Linked DNA regions of Drosophila melanogaster. The protein of the gene in region 3 interacts with the protein of the main gene of each other region in a pairwise test. Each region holds a gene or a part of one and is shown on either strand. Other genes may lie near its edges. The genes, in order: CG32369, Lk6 and CG12708.

Evidence for each region.
Region 1: the proteins of CG12708 (region 3) and CG32369 interact in a two-hybrid assay, tested with the Drosophila melanogaster proteins (one large-scale study listed by BioGRID).
Region 2: the proteins of CG12708 (region 3) and Lk6 interact in a two-hybrid assay, tested with the Drosophila melanogaster proteins (one large-scale study listed by BioGRID).

Annotation. Positions count from the first base shown.
Region 1 is NT_037436.4:7,806,825-7,811,515, reverse strand, and holds the start of CG32369 (uncharacterized protein), read left to right. Parts: upstream 1-1,690; 5' UTR 1,691-2,519; intron 2,520-4,691.
Region 2 is NT_033777.3:11,761,455-11,766,581, forward strand, and holds the start of Lk6 (Lk6 kinase), read right to left. Parts: upstream 3,004-5,127; 5' UTR 2,193-3,003; coding exon 2,030-2,192; intron 1-2,029.
Region 3 is NC_004354.4:15,673,804-15,678,311, forward strand, and holds CG12708 (uncharacterized protein), read left to right. Parts: upstream 1-1,672; 5' UTR 1,673-1,884; exon of another isoform or gene 1,885-2,000; intron 2,001-2,560; 5' UTR 2,561-2,603; coding exon 2,604-3,821; 3' UTR 3,822-3,934; downstream 3,935-4,508.

The DNA.
Region 1 (4,691 bases), on a different chromosome or scaffold from region 3:
AATTCTCACTTCCACTTGGCAACAAACGAAACTCGCCCGACTTCAATTAACATTCACTAAAACAACGAAAAAAAATAAATAATTTGTTTGTCAGCTTCACACACCTATTTCAAATTCAGCTGAACCAAAGCCCAAATCGGTGATATACACTATTATGCAAAAAACATAATAAAGCAAAAAAAAAAAACTGAAACTAATTTCCTCATATATTGCTTACAAAATAAACATTTCAAACATGAAACTCGCAGCTAATTTCCGTTGATGAACAACAAAAGCAGCGCCAACTATTTGAGAAATGGGAGCTGTATAACCGGTACACAGTCAAAATTTAATTATATAATTGTACATGGTATTAAAATATATGGTACTACTAAAATAACGTTAATTGCTAAACAATTAAAGATTATTGAGATTCTACAACTCAGAAATTTGAAAATATATATTAGAATAAATTTTGTTAATTTTAATATGTTTTAATCTGTAAACTTTCAAGCTTTGTTTTTTTTTTGAATGCAGGCTTAAACCAGACCCAGACCTGAGGCAAAGCAATTCGATTACTTCCCTATGGGGAAATGTTGCAATAAATGCGAGCAATGCTCAAACATAAGCGGACTCCACTCGCCCGCCCCGCATATTTTTATACTGTCCAAGACTTACGAAAGCGAAAAATGAGTTAACAACAACGGCCACTCAAAATGTTAATGGAAACGCAGCAGCAGCAGCAGCAGCAGCAGCATGAAAACTGGTAGTATGCAGGCAACCGCTAACAGACAACGTTGAACTTGAGCTTGAAATACAAGCCAAGCGGAGCCAAAAGAGAAAGACGGGAAGTAGGGGGAGGGGAAGCGATACGCGGTTGTTATAAGCCAAGTTTGTCGACAACTGCATTTGTTGATCAACCCAAATGAGGTCAACGCGTCGTATACGTAATTTGCGTTAAATGACAAAACAATATGTAATAGCCACACAACACTTACGAAACGCAGATATTCGATATTACAGACGAACTTTAACAACTCTGAGCTCTATCGGGATAGGAAATCTATAGCTTCAAAACCTGTTTAAGGATTATAAAATTAATACATCTTGTAATGACATGTCTGAGAATTAATCAACTTATATTTTCACAGTTTAATCTATTGTGTATTTTGTTATACAAATTTCGTTATTAATTTTATAAGTTATTTGAGTAAGCTTTTATTCTATTTTACATAATCTAAAAACTATATTTGCGTATTAAACAAAATTACAAAATTTTATATATGTAATTTAGTTTAAGTAACAGAAAATCGACCGTATCTGTTGTGATTATTGATGTTTGCTTGGTGTTTATATGGCTGTAGTCTGTTGAGTGGCGCCGGAAATGCGCATCATACGATAAATGACGCCCACTGGCAAACTAGCACCCCCAACACCACCCACTATCCCCCAACCCAATAGTTTTGCAAATCACCCACCGCAGCCCCCGCTGCCCCATCATTTTTCTTGGCGTCGCCTGTTGTGACAGTTGACGGTTTGCCGGCAAAAATTAAAAAAAAAAATAAAATGCCAGAGAGAGAAGTGCTAAACAAAGAGAGCTCAAGGCACAGACATCGATGACGCAACAGACACATCCACGGAGGCGTAAGAGAGTCGACCCCAAAAGAGAGCGCCAATTTTTCGCTCCAAGCCAACGACTGACTTTTCACAGCAGTCATTCGCTGTTGAACAGCGGCCGTGGCAAGTTCAGACAGCAGGGAGAGTTTGAAAAAAAAAACCAGGCCGTAATACAAATACAAAAAGCAAAATAATAAAAATTATACAAAAAAAAAGTATGAATAATAAAAAAGGCAAATAAAAAAGCAACAAAGTGGAGCGCACCCCATAAGCAAATCATCGCCGAGCCACTCGAACACGTTGCCGCCGTTGCTGCTGTTGTCGCTATTTCTTTCGCCCAGTGCGTTCGCTCTCTCTCTTTCTGTCTCGTCGCGTAACGTAAGCGTATTACAAAACAAACGCCAACGTAATCAAAGAAATAAATAAAATAAAATAAAGGTGCTCGCTCGCGTGTTTCTCGGTGTGAATAAATGAAATAAATAAATTAGTCACAAAATATAAAAAGGGGGTCCAAGTGCAGCCCCCCCCAAATTGCCGCACACCCTTTACGAGAAAGAAAGAAAAAAAGTTAACCCGTGTGTGCGGCGGGGTTACGTAAAGCCGACGGACAAGCGCCGTTCCAAGTTCTTACAAAACAAAAAAAAAAATATATATAAATATCAAACAACACATAACACGAGTGAATAGATTCCCCAATTCGATTTTTTCGCACGCGTGTGGCTATAAATTTTTGGCAAACAAAAATATATACAACTAAATACAACAACAAAATTTTAAATAAATTGCAAGAAGAAGAGGGAGAATTTCGTGTGTTAGTGTGTGTGTCTGTGTGTGATTCTTGAGCAACAGTACACGCCGCACCCCCCGCGAAAAACCTACCCTTTTTTGGGGAAAAACAAGGAGGCGCGGTTCAACAGCGACAGGTAATTCCATTTCTGCGCTCTCTTTGCCACTCTTTCGGGTTCTCTTTGTGTGTGTTACGACATCAAACCACATGCTATGCCTCTGTTTTCAATGTGAATGAACGCTCGACAAAGTTGCGTTTTCAAAGATTGGCACATTCAAGTCTCTCTCTTAGTTTTTCGCTCTTTGTCGGGGAAAACAGTTTTTCATTTGCTATCTGCAATGATTGTGAAAACAAAAAGTGCACTGCTTGAGTCTAGCGGAGGGAAAACTGCAGGGGCGGCTCTTACGTGTTGCCATATTTTTAAAGGCATTACTAAGCGTTTTTTCCGCGCTGCTTTGTTGACGTTCTGTGGCCAATTGAATTCGGCCTGCACTTGATAATCATTTATATTTAATGTGTGATAAAACTTCCGTGGAAAAATATATATCTTAACGATTTCGCGATAAATTAGCTCAGATAAGCAAAAAACAAATGGTGGAAAGAACGATTTGGGAATTTTAAAAGAAGTAAAATTAAGAAAATAAACAATTCAACCTCGTTAAATTATAGTTGACACAAATTTTATATACAAAGTTAAAGTATATAAAATATAACTGGTAAAAAAAAACGTCAGTTTTTTTCATTTTCATTTCATTCATTTTCCTTGAATCTGTCGCGTTGTCATCGCTTTCGTAATTCTCTGGTTAACAGTTTCCAATCCCCGATAATCTACTAAAGATTCGCCAATTTGTCGGGGTCACCACCCAATATTCGTCAGCTACCAAAGCGAGAAACTGGGCTCCTTCCCTCTCCCCCCCTCGACCGCATATGCCCCTCTCACTCGGTTGACGTTTAGCGTTACGACACGCAATGTACTACGAGTATTATGCGACGTTTGCTGCCAATGAACAAGCCGCAACAACACAGTTCGCCCACTTGGCCCAAAACGAAAAACGCCAAAGGGGTTGGGGAAATGCTGAAAAAATATGGTTAGCTCGAAAAGAGGAAAAACCTATTTGCATACGTCATCGGGCGAAAAAGGTTCGTCATGACTCAGAGTCGAATATCGAGGAAGCCAGACTTCAAACAGCTGGATCGTTGTTATATAAACCAAGTCAAACACTACACCGAACTTATGTAAGGCCCAAAGGGACCGGGCCAATTAGTCACAGCGAATGTGGGGGTTCTTGTGTAATCGGTGTGAAATCAAAACCGAAAACCTGAAAAATCACAAACTATGTAGAAATTTTTGGTTGCTAATTGGCTTGCCTCAATAAATTCTTCAGCCCAGTTTCTTTTGTAGTTATTTTGAGCTATTTATATCAGCGTTTATCGCCGTCGTCATTGTCGTCCATTCGAATACAATGTCATAAAACGTGTGAGCCAAGCAAAAAACGGCAAGACAAATGAGAAACCAATAAAACAAATATCAAAGAAGAAATCAAAATGTACAAAACCAAATAAACGCCAACATTAAGGCAATGAAAATGTATGCGATTTCATAATTACGTCGAAAACTACCATCGGAGCATAATCACTTGGTTATGCAATTTATTGGCTTATGTGGCGTGATTACTTGGCGATTAAAGAACTCTATCAGAAGTTCTTGGGATTTTAGGAAATTGGTGAAAGACTTAAACAACTTTGTAGGAATTTCCACACCTGAGCTGTTGCTCATATCGTATTTGGGTACATGAATGTTCATGAAGATGAATCATTTGTTGACTCATTTTCATAAGATAGCAATTTCATAGTTGATACAGAACAACTGTCGTTTTCAATCAGTTCTTTACAAGCAAGCAAATAGTAATTATTTCAACAATCGCTCAATGAGTTTATCACATTTAGTGCTGTAAGTTCCTTTATCGACTTCAATCACTGCGCGCCTACAATCACTTATCGGACTTAAGGCAAACAATGCCTGAATTCAGTTGACTTAGAATACTGACAAACGCCGTTGTAAATGTAGCTATATACACATATTATATGTCAACGCTGCCATTTTGTCTGAGTGACGACGGACAACGGTTGTTTGTATCTACGATTGACATTGCATAATATTGTGAAAAATAAAGCAATCTACGCTATAAGCTATTGCCCTGAGGGCGTGTTCAGGTAGCCGGGCTTCACATATTTGTTATTCACTTAGGAACAATTTATCGGATACGGATTATGCAATAGGACTTTACGTACACGGAACTGCAACCAC
Region 2 (5,127 bases), on a different chromosome or scaffold from region 3:
AACGAGCAAGGGAGACAGAGATATATTGGGCTGATTTCATGAATCGGAGGAGGCTGCACGTAGGCACCACTAGATGTCCTCCTATCGATAGGCCTCGATAGAATGAAAAACTTCTCGATAATTATGGAAAATTATTATGGATCGTTGGGGGGAAAACAAGTTTCCAGCTGGTGGGCTCCAATTGACAGCGTTTTGCACTCAGTTGATTGCAGCTGCAAAATCCACTCCAGCACAACTCCTAATGGGCGCACACATTTTATATGTGTGGGAGGCCAAGCAACGAACGTCACACCAAGTGCAATAAACGTCATGAAGGTTATAATCGTAGTTTGTTCACATTTCGCCGCGTTCGCTGCATTTTGGGCACGAATACGCATTTGAACACGAGTGTCAGTGCATTACGCTCAATCGATCAGCCATCATGAGTCATTTTCCATTTCCATAACTGCCTGCACACGCTCAATTTCAATTTCTCGGTCTCGGCTAGCTGGCACAGATACTAGTGCCGTCTCTCTCACTTCGCCGGCAGCTTTGGTGGTGTTGGTGGAATGGCAGGGAAAAGGAATACCCTTTTGTGCTTGGAATCTAGTATTGCTTAAATTGATAATCATATTATGCGAATTTATACCAGTCAACTGGTCTAATTACAAAGGGTAACTATTGGTGCTGAAATCTACATATGTATGTGTGAATATATTCCTATTGTACAGCAGTTTACCCATATGGATTTCATGATTTTTCAAAGCAGCTCACTTATGCCCGATTTTATAGGATATTAGTGGAATTAGTGGATGTCAGTGGTCCAACCCAACCGTATCTAGCATATTTACACAACAATCTGTCCTGTTTCATAAGATTATCTTTGATAAACACAAAGTATGGACTATAATCACTATCTAAACGAAAACAACAAACTTCTAGTTTAACCTCCAGTTAGAATATGACTAATTAGTGGATTTAGTTGATCTTTGTCATTGTTATTTTATAGCATATATCAAATCCCACATATAATTAAGAACTTGTGTACAATAATAACACCCCCAGTGATGGTTATAAAGTCCAGATGCTGGAATACCCCTAAAATTAGGGCACATACACACTTATATTCAGCTTAATGGCCCCAGTCGAATGATGCAATGGGGTTCTCTTGGCGAAACAAAACAACTGTAAACACCACACAGACTGTGCGGGGTGGGTGAAGGGAAGCGGAGTGGGTGGTGGGGTTGGGCGCCGGCAGGCAGACAGCATGCATGTTCTCGAACATCGTGTGACGTCAAGGAAATACACTGCGGCACCCGGTGCGCAACGTGGCCCAGTCAGTCAATGCTCCCTAGTTCGTTCGATTGATTAGCAAGGGTAAACGAAACGAAAGTGCTGCCTGGCCCAGCTTTGCCGATAACTGACTAGAAATCCACTGAATGAAAGCGTAGGAGCAATGGTCGGGTCTTTTCTCTGATTGGTAGTCAGTCCCCACCCAATGACAAGCAGAATAATACATACATATGGTTAGGAACTTTAGAGGAAGTATAACTTCCGATACAAAATATTACATTAACGTATATCTTTTTTTTACCATTGCATTTTAGCAGAAATATCCTACAAATCGTATTTTATAGGTACAACTTTAAGAAGCAAAGAACGTTTGTCACATTCTCAAAATAATAATTATATGCTTAAATAAGGCTTTTGTTTTCTTTTGGCATGCAAATAACTGTTGCCTACGAAATATACTTTATATTTAGGCAATACAACAATATTACGACAGAGATACAGGTGAATTTCCAATAGGTAGAAGTTCAAATTTATACGAAAGAGCTGCCAAATTCACAGTCAGAGCAAATATTTGCAATTATTTCATCATTCTGTTAACATGTTGTCTAGTTAAAATTAAACTGGTGACACACGAAGCGCAAATATGCGAAATCTCTTCAGAAGGTTTCCAAAATATATCTCATGCATCACAGTTTGCTTCTCAGCTATGGGAATTTAGTGTCAAACTCCCAGAGTTCTAGAAACTCAAATTGCTCACCTGACTGACTCTGGCTGCAGCTGTTGTCCGTGTTGCTGCAGGAAATGCCGCTGCCACTCCGGATGCCGCTGTCCCCAGATCCACGGGGGTGGTTGTTGTTATTGTTGTTGCTTGCTTTCGCAGCAGCGGCAGAAGCAGCTGTCCCGGACTTGGGCTCCACCATGTTGTTGCTGTTGTTGTTACTGTACGGTGCTCCTGGACGCGATTAGAGTGAGACAGGCAGAGTGCTTACAAGCTGGAAAAAGGGTTTACGGTGCAACAAATGAGCAGCAGTTTTTCTCAGTCTCTCGTGCTCTTTCCTCTCTTCTCGTTCAGTTCATTCAAAATCAAAATGGTGGCCGCCTATGGGATTTTTGTGTTTTTAATACAATGCGGCGGTTGATGAAAAAACTGATTCAATTCTGCTGCAGATGCTCCTCTCTCTCTCTCTCTCTATCTATCGCTCTCCGCTGTTTATTTATTCTTGGTTTGGTGGTTGAGTCGTCGTTGGTGTGGCTGCTGTTGTTGTTGTAATCGATGGCTGCTGCTGATTTCTCTCATCACACAGGCGAAAAAAGCTCAAGCAAAAAATGGGGTTTATCTATTTGCACCGCTTTTTTCGGTTATCTGCGATATTTTTTGTTTTTTTCTTCGGGTATTGCGATTTTTGCGTTTCACCTCTTCTTTGTGGGCTTGGTGCAGTAGTGCTGTTGCTGTGGTTGTTGCTCTTGTAGTTGTTGGTGAGATGGTTGTTGTAGTGATGGAGGCGTTAATTTAGTTCTATTTTATTTTCCGGAGCTGCTGGAGATGGCTGGTGTGGCGGTGGAGTTGGTCGTTAAAATTTCCTCTGCTGATTACAACACAAAAAAAATCGCTGAATAGCGGACAAAAGCCGTTTTCTTTGCGTATTTCGCTTTAAGTTTCCTTCCCAGCTACCGATCCATTTTCAAAGTTCGAATGATTCCGACGAATGACGACGAATTCATCCGTGTGGCCGGAGGTACCATTTTGGTAGGACCGTTTTTCGGGCCAACGAAAATACCACAAGACGGCAGCGACACTAGGGTTTTTTGCTTCAAATGTAGTATGGCTACGCAACTCACATATGGTTGAGAACTTCGCTGTTTATTTGGTGGTTAAACTAGCTAAATACAATAAGAGTGGCAACGCCGTCACGTTTTCTACATGTATTTTACTTGGCGTAGTGCGCCAAGCTTATAAACCACAGTTGGGCGGTTCTTTTGAATTGTTTAATTTACACCCCACTATGAAACTTATTAGCCTTCTTTATTTATTTTATATTTTATTTTTGGGAAGAATACGTTTACTCAAGGTTCGCAGCTTGTCAATCAGTATTCGCAAATATCAATAATAAAAGGCATCAATTTTCCAATCAGCAGTTGAAAAGAACTCCCCTCGACATTTGAACAAAATGCATTTTTGGGTGATTATAATTTATTAGAATTTTTATTGACTTAAGGTAAATATAAATAAAATATTATTCAAGTACAAAGTTATATATACTCATTAATATTATTTGATTCAAGTAAATATATTTCAAAGTGGCGGTGTTTTATTATATCATTTTTCAATTAAGTACAATTTACTGTTCCTGCTCTATTTCTATGGGTTCGCAGAGAGTCCAAAAGTACTCTTAACACTCGGTCCTGTAAGGTGTGTATAATTTTCGGGCAGGCCATTTTCGGATTTGGCCCGACCGGAAAATATTGCGAGCCATTGACGACGCACCTGCAAGTTTTAAACCTGGCTTATTGACTCGTGATTTCCTCGTCTTTGAGACCCGGGGATCGAGTACTTGTGGGTACTTTGCGAACCCGGACTTCAAACCTTGCCCATGCAACAATTGTATCTTTGTGTAGTTTACGTTTAATCAATGAATTTGGATCACAAACAGTAAATACGTCTTTAACGATAATTGCAGTTGAATTAAACATATTAAGATAAGGGTAGTGGGGTGGGGGTACCTTTGTTTTAATTATAAAAATATTATATCTGCATTTTACATGTTTTTGTTTCGCTACTATCGTTTTTGCTCGAAATTACATAAGTCCAGCCTTAAAACAAGTAATTTTCGTCACCAATCGCATTCGCGCACGCTCCATTATCCATAACACTCGGTTTCGTCATCAATTCAATTCAATTCAATTTTGCATTTAAACGCTACGTTGCCTTAACTTCAGTCCTTTCGCAGAAAATCTAACCCTTAAATGTATTTAGCTCTTCGCCCGTCGATCCTTTTTCTTCCCTCCTTCCTTCCTTCACATCCCCCGCATGCTGCAGACACTAAACATAAATTCAATACGTACAGTTTCAAATTGGATGCGCGGCATCGTATCGTCGTTTAATGTAAAAGGTGTAATGCTACGCGCCCTTTTCGTCTGATCCTTGCCCTAAATGCCATCCTAGGGTATTAATCCATCCACCTCTAACTACAATTTAACTTCTCTTTGGCCGCAAACCCCCCGCATTACTTATTTAGCTCCTGTAAATATGAACTGCTTATGTTTCGCTTACGCTCCTTCGATCATTTTTGTGTTTGCTTTTGTTTTTGTGTTTATAATTTATTTAAATGCACTAAAAGTTGCACGGACCGTTTGCCAGCAGCCTGTGAAGTCGATCGTCGTCGGTTCGGCTGTGTTGCGATCTAGATCTATCCTGTAATTGTCGATTTTATACCTTCGATAAGCCAATGAAGTGTGAGAAAATATGTATCTATTTCGTCATTTGTTTGTTCGTTCGTTATGCATTTTAGTTGGTTGATGATGGTTCGTTTTGCGTTTATAAAATGCCAAAATTTGTGCAAATTTCTAAAACATTTTTAGTTTGTTCTTCTCGTATTATTCTAAAATATTTGTAACTTTAAAATGTACTTCCTCATTAGATTAAATTTTTCTTTTCTTTTCTTTTCTTTTGTTTTGTTTCATTTTTCTTTTCTTTTTTCACTTCGTTTAAAATATTGCATTTTTATTTTATGTTTTTCTTTTGGAGGCTTTATCCCTGAGTGATTTAATTTCATTTGTTTGTCATTTATTGCAACTTTTTCTTTATAAACTTATTGTTTTATATTTTCTTATTCGATTTAGTGTGTCAAGAAAAAT
Region 3 (4,508 bases):
TATGAAGATGTCTTGTATTTTTGGAAATTCCCTTTGGGACTGATATATTTACGATCTCATTGTTTGAACTCGATGAACTCACAACACTTGAGCATATTTAATTGTGCCACCACCAGTTGCAATAAATTGTATCCTATAGCACTTGGTGGTCCGGAACTGCAGTGTCATATGAAATGCTAAAGCAGGTCCTGGCACTTCCTCAGCGAACAAAAAGTTGTGTTTAGTTTTTGCACAAAAACTGTCAAATAAATTTAGCAAGCAATAATATGGCGAAAGCAAATAGTAAAGATTCCAAAACTGAAGAATTGGGCAGATGTACGGTTGAGATTTAATTCTATTTTTCTCAAACGGACAATCGGCGGCTGCGAAAATATCATAAATTTGAGATCAGCAGAGAAAGCAGGAGGGAAAGTGAGGGAAGGTAGGAGCAGGACGGACCGGGAGCCCTTTAACCAATAAATTGCAAAACAATTGCACAATTTTCCACAACAATTTCCACAGGACAGCGATGTCCCATAAACAATGGGCCAAATTTGTACAATGCCCAAAGTTCCTGTTTGTGTTGTCCTTTTCTTGGCGAAAATCGTGAGAGAAGGAAGGAAAAATCGGAAAGAATTGCCTTGCTAGGGTCTAACGACTATAAGATACCTATTATTTAAACCTTTTATATATTTATGTTAGAAAAAGTTGGCAAATGATGCAAAACAGTTTCATCAATTAAACTAAATAATTGTAATCATTATTCCGATGAACTTGTTTAAACAACAACAGAAAGTCTTTTCAATATCAAATGAAAAACTAAAAATCCTTTAAGACCCAATGTTTTGTTCTAACTTCCTGTAACCCACACAATCACAGGTCTAGCATACTCTCAGGATCCCAAAAAAAACACAGGGTATCTTGAGGAGTCCAAGGTGAAAGGAGCCACACGCTGCGAGAAAGGTAATTGAAAATTATGTTTTGTGGCGCAAGCGGCGATGAGAACAGCTGTCCAACTATGCTCCGTCCCACTCACACGCTTCACAAGCGCCGTCCCTTTCTTGTTGCACGTAGGAATCCTTGGCCAACTGATCATGATCCTTCTCGGTGGCCAAATAAAAAATCTCACGATCGTGGAAAATTCGCACAGCTGTTGCCAGATCGTAAATCGATCGGTAAACGGTTATAAAAACTGAACATCAAGATAACGTTAATGTAGATCAAAGCGCAGCCTTCTGCTTTTCAATTTGTATCGCATTATCTAATAAATAGAAATATATTAGATAGTTTTGGGAAGTACGAGTCTACGAGAAGAGGTAATTGTATATATATATATATATATATACCAGATTCGATAAAAGGTATTGAAAGGGTATGCTTTTAGTTATAGTTGTTATCATGGGAAAAGTGAGAAATACGAATATTACAACTTATTTAAATAATTTATATTATTATCAATGTTGCAAAGTATCTTGCATAAGTTATTAAAGTCAAGTGGACTGATATCAGATGCGAAATACCTTTAATTACTATAACAACGAGTGGTCTCCCACCACCCGCTTTCAATGCCGCCGGTTGAACGTGCCTGCCGTTCAACTGCCTGATCTCTCCGCTCTCGCTCTCTTCCCTCTGCGCATGAGCAACATGTCCGTTCGTCGCCTTCTGCTTTCTCCCGGTTAAGGCGGCTAGCCAGTCAGTCAACCAACAACCGGCGAAGGGAACGCACGCAGTCGATCTTTGCCAGAAAAACGCGACGGTTGAAACGCAACACTTGGCAAAAAAAAAGCACTACATATACAAACTACCAAATAATCAATTCTTAAAATAAATCCGCGAACCATTTATTTTATTTTTTTGCTGTTGGAAATAAATATCAGTGCCGAAAAAAATAAACTACTGAAAAAGGTAAATTCAAGTGAACATCTAAAGATGACTGAAACTAAAAATGCAGTCATGTACAATGAGATCTAAAGGCTCATAAAAATAAATGGATATACCTAAAATAAATTACTTAAGTGCCTGTAAGATTCATGAATTCATTCATTAATGGTTATGAATATCTTTTCAAATAATTCCCAACATAACTGGATCAATGCAATTATAAATGCACAAAAATTCAATTTTTCGGATAACTTGTGATTTTTGGTTTTTTGGTATCCACTCAAGAGCCAAATTTGAATGCAACCTAAAAGTTCATTAAGATTTCATAAGAATAATTGAGCATATCAAGTTCAGAGTCAATTAAATTATTAAGGTCCAGACCAAAGGCTGCCCGTCGTCCATTTAATTGTCCGTGAGAGGAGTGGTTGATTTCGTTTTTGATTTCATTTTTGCCGCTTCGCTGATTTCGCCAAATCGATACACATCCATATACATATGTACATATGCATGTATATATGTATGTTTGTCTACATGCACATTTATCGCGGAAAAAGCGCGCCAAAATTGCCGAAAACTCGCCCGACAACTTTGCCGCTGCCCTCTTTATTTATTTGCTCCTTAAGAAAGTCAAGTTCTGGAATGCCAGAACCAGAAATACCCGCCCCCTTCCTAACCAGATTCCTTTGCTCTTTCCTTGCAGCACCCACTACAAAACCGAAAAACTAAAACTTCAGACAAAGAAGATGCTCAAGTGGGCCGTCAACCAGCCACGACCCTCGTACTTGGCCAGGGATGAGGTGATGGCCACCAGCAGCGAGGCAGTCGGCTCCAGCTACAGCGAGTTCCACGCCCTGCGTGGCAAACTCAAGAGGAAGTCGATCGGAGTGGCGCCAGGCAAGGAGAACCAGCTGACCTCCACGCCACTGCCGGCCAGCTCCTTGAGCCTCCATGCGCGCACACCACTGCTCAAGGACCTCAGCAACATCCTGGCCACGCCGCCATCGGGAGGAGCAAGTGGCGCTAATGGGGCAACTGGAGGTGTAACTGCTGTTCCCCTGAAGTTCGCCTGCACACTGCCCACCTTCGAGGCGGAGTACTCGCCCAATGCCGCCATCATTCCTGGCTCCCTGATCGCCCTGCGCGGCATGGGCATCCCGGACAGCTACTTCGAGAAGCCGCGTTACCTGGAGCAGAAGCCACTACCACATCCGCATCCGCATCCAGCACCTCCGACCGGCGAACAGAATACGCTCAGTTCCAGCCAGATGGGCGATGTGACCCTGGAGCGCATGATCGATGCCATCCTCGAGAGCAACCGCAAGGTGCTGCCCAACGCCAGACAGCAACAGCACCAGCATCAGCACCGCCAGCCCAGGCAGCATCTCCGCCAGCGGCACAGGCTCAGGCAGCAGGTGCTCCGGAGCAGCCACGGACACGGGCACGGCCCCACCCAGACGCCATCGCCCACCTACCGCCCCGCCTTCGATCCGGCCAGCGATCTGTGCGAGTACTGGAAGTCGCCCTCGCGGAGGGATTCCCTGCCAGCGGAGGGCTTCGAGGAGCGGGAGGTGCGCTCCCCCGTGCCCACCGTATCCGAATCGCAGGATGCCAAGCGGCATTCCCTGCAGCTGCGCAGGCAGCGGGTGGTGCGGCGCAAGCGAAAGATCACCACAAAGATCTCCTCCAGCGTCAGGCAGTCGGCGCAGAAGCTGCTTGCAGCGGCCAGGTCCGGATCCATAGCAGCTCCCGCCCAGAAGATGCGCCACATCAGTCCGGACAGTGGGCACAATTCCACCAGCGACTGCGAGCTGGAGGAGGAGCACTGCCAGCTGAGTCGCGGACTGGAGTTGGGTGGCGAGGAGCTGGAGGATGCCTGTCAGCTGGATGCCATGTGGTTGCAAGTGCAGGCCAGAGACGCCACGAAGAGACGCCTCAGCTTCTCCCTGGTGGAAGAAAGCTAATCCTCAAGGATATTCCTATACCATAGGCATAAGACATTTTTTTCATAGCCCTAAGAACGTTTTTTTTTTTTTTAATTTTTTGGCCAGAATAAATCATTTGGAATGCAGAATGTACGAAAAGAACCAAATTCACTGAGGGGCACACTGTCATAATTCGGTTGAAACCACAAGGAACCACCAGCAGTTTATGCTAAACACCTCTTGAAGCTCAGCGGTGCGTGGAAAGCAATTCCTCCAGAGCAGAGGGTCTGGGTCTTCTCATCCGTCTGCCCAAGTGGTCTTCTTTCTCACAGCGAGCTGGTTAATGAGCGTTTTAATGCTCCGATAGCGAGCTATAGGGGATTCCTCGGCAACATGGAACATAGAACTTGGCGGTAATGAGGGCCCTAAAAGGAAGGGGTTGTGCGACAATTGTCGCAAGAAAAAAAATATTATTTACGCTTCAAATGCCCACGAATTCGATGGGCAGGCAGCCAGCCAAGTTATGTGCGATCTAACGCGATAAGGTCTAGTACCTGGAAATGGAACAGGTATCACTTGCTCGGAACTCCATTCGAGTGTTATTAGCTCAAAGCGACCTTTGGAAAAGGAAGTTGCCTAACTTTCACCCGGGAAACTGCGATTTACCACTGCTTTCAGCGGAAACTATTCTCTGAAGGTATCATAAAATCATAGTGATGAGTTATG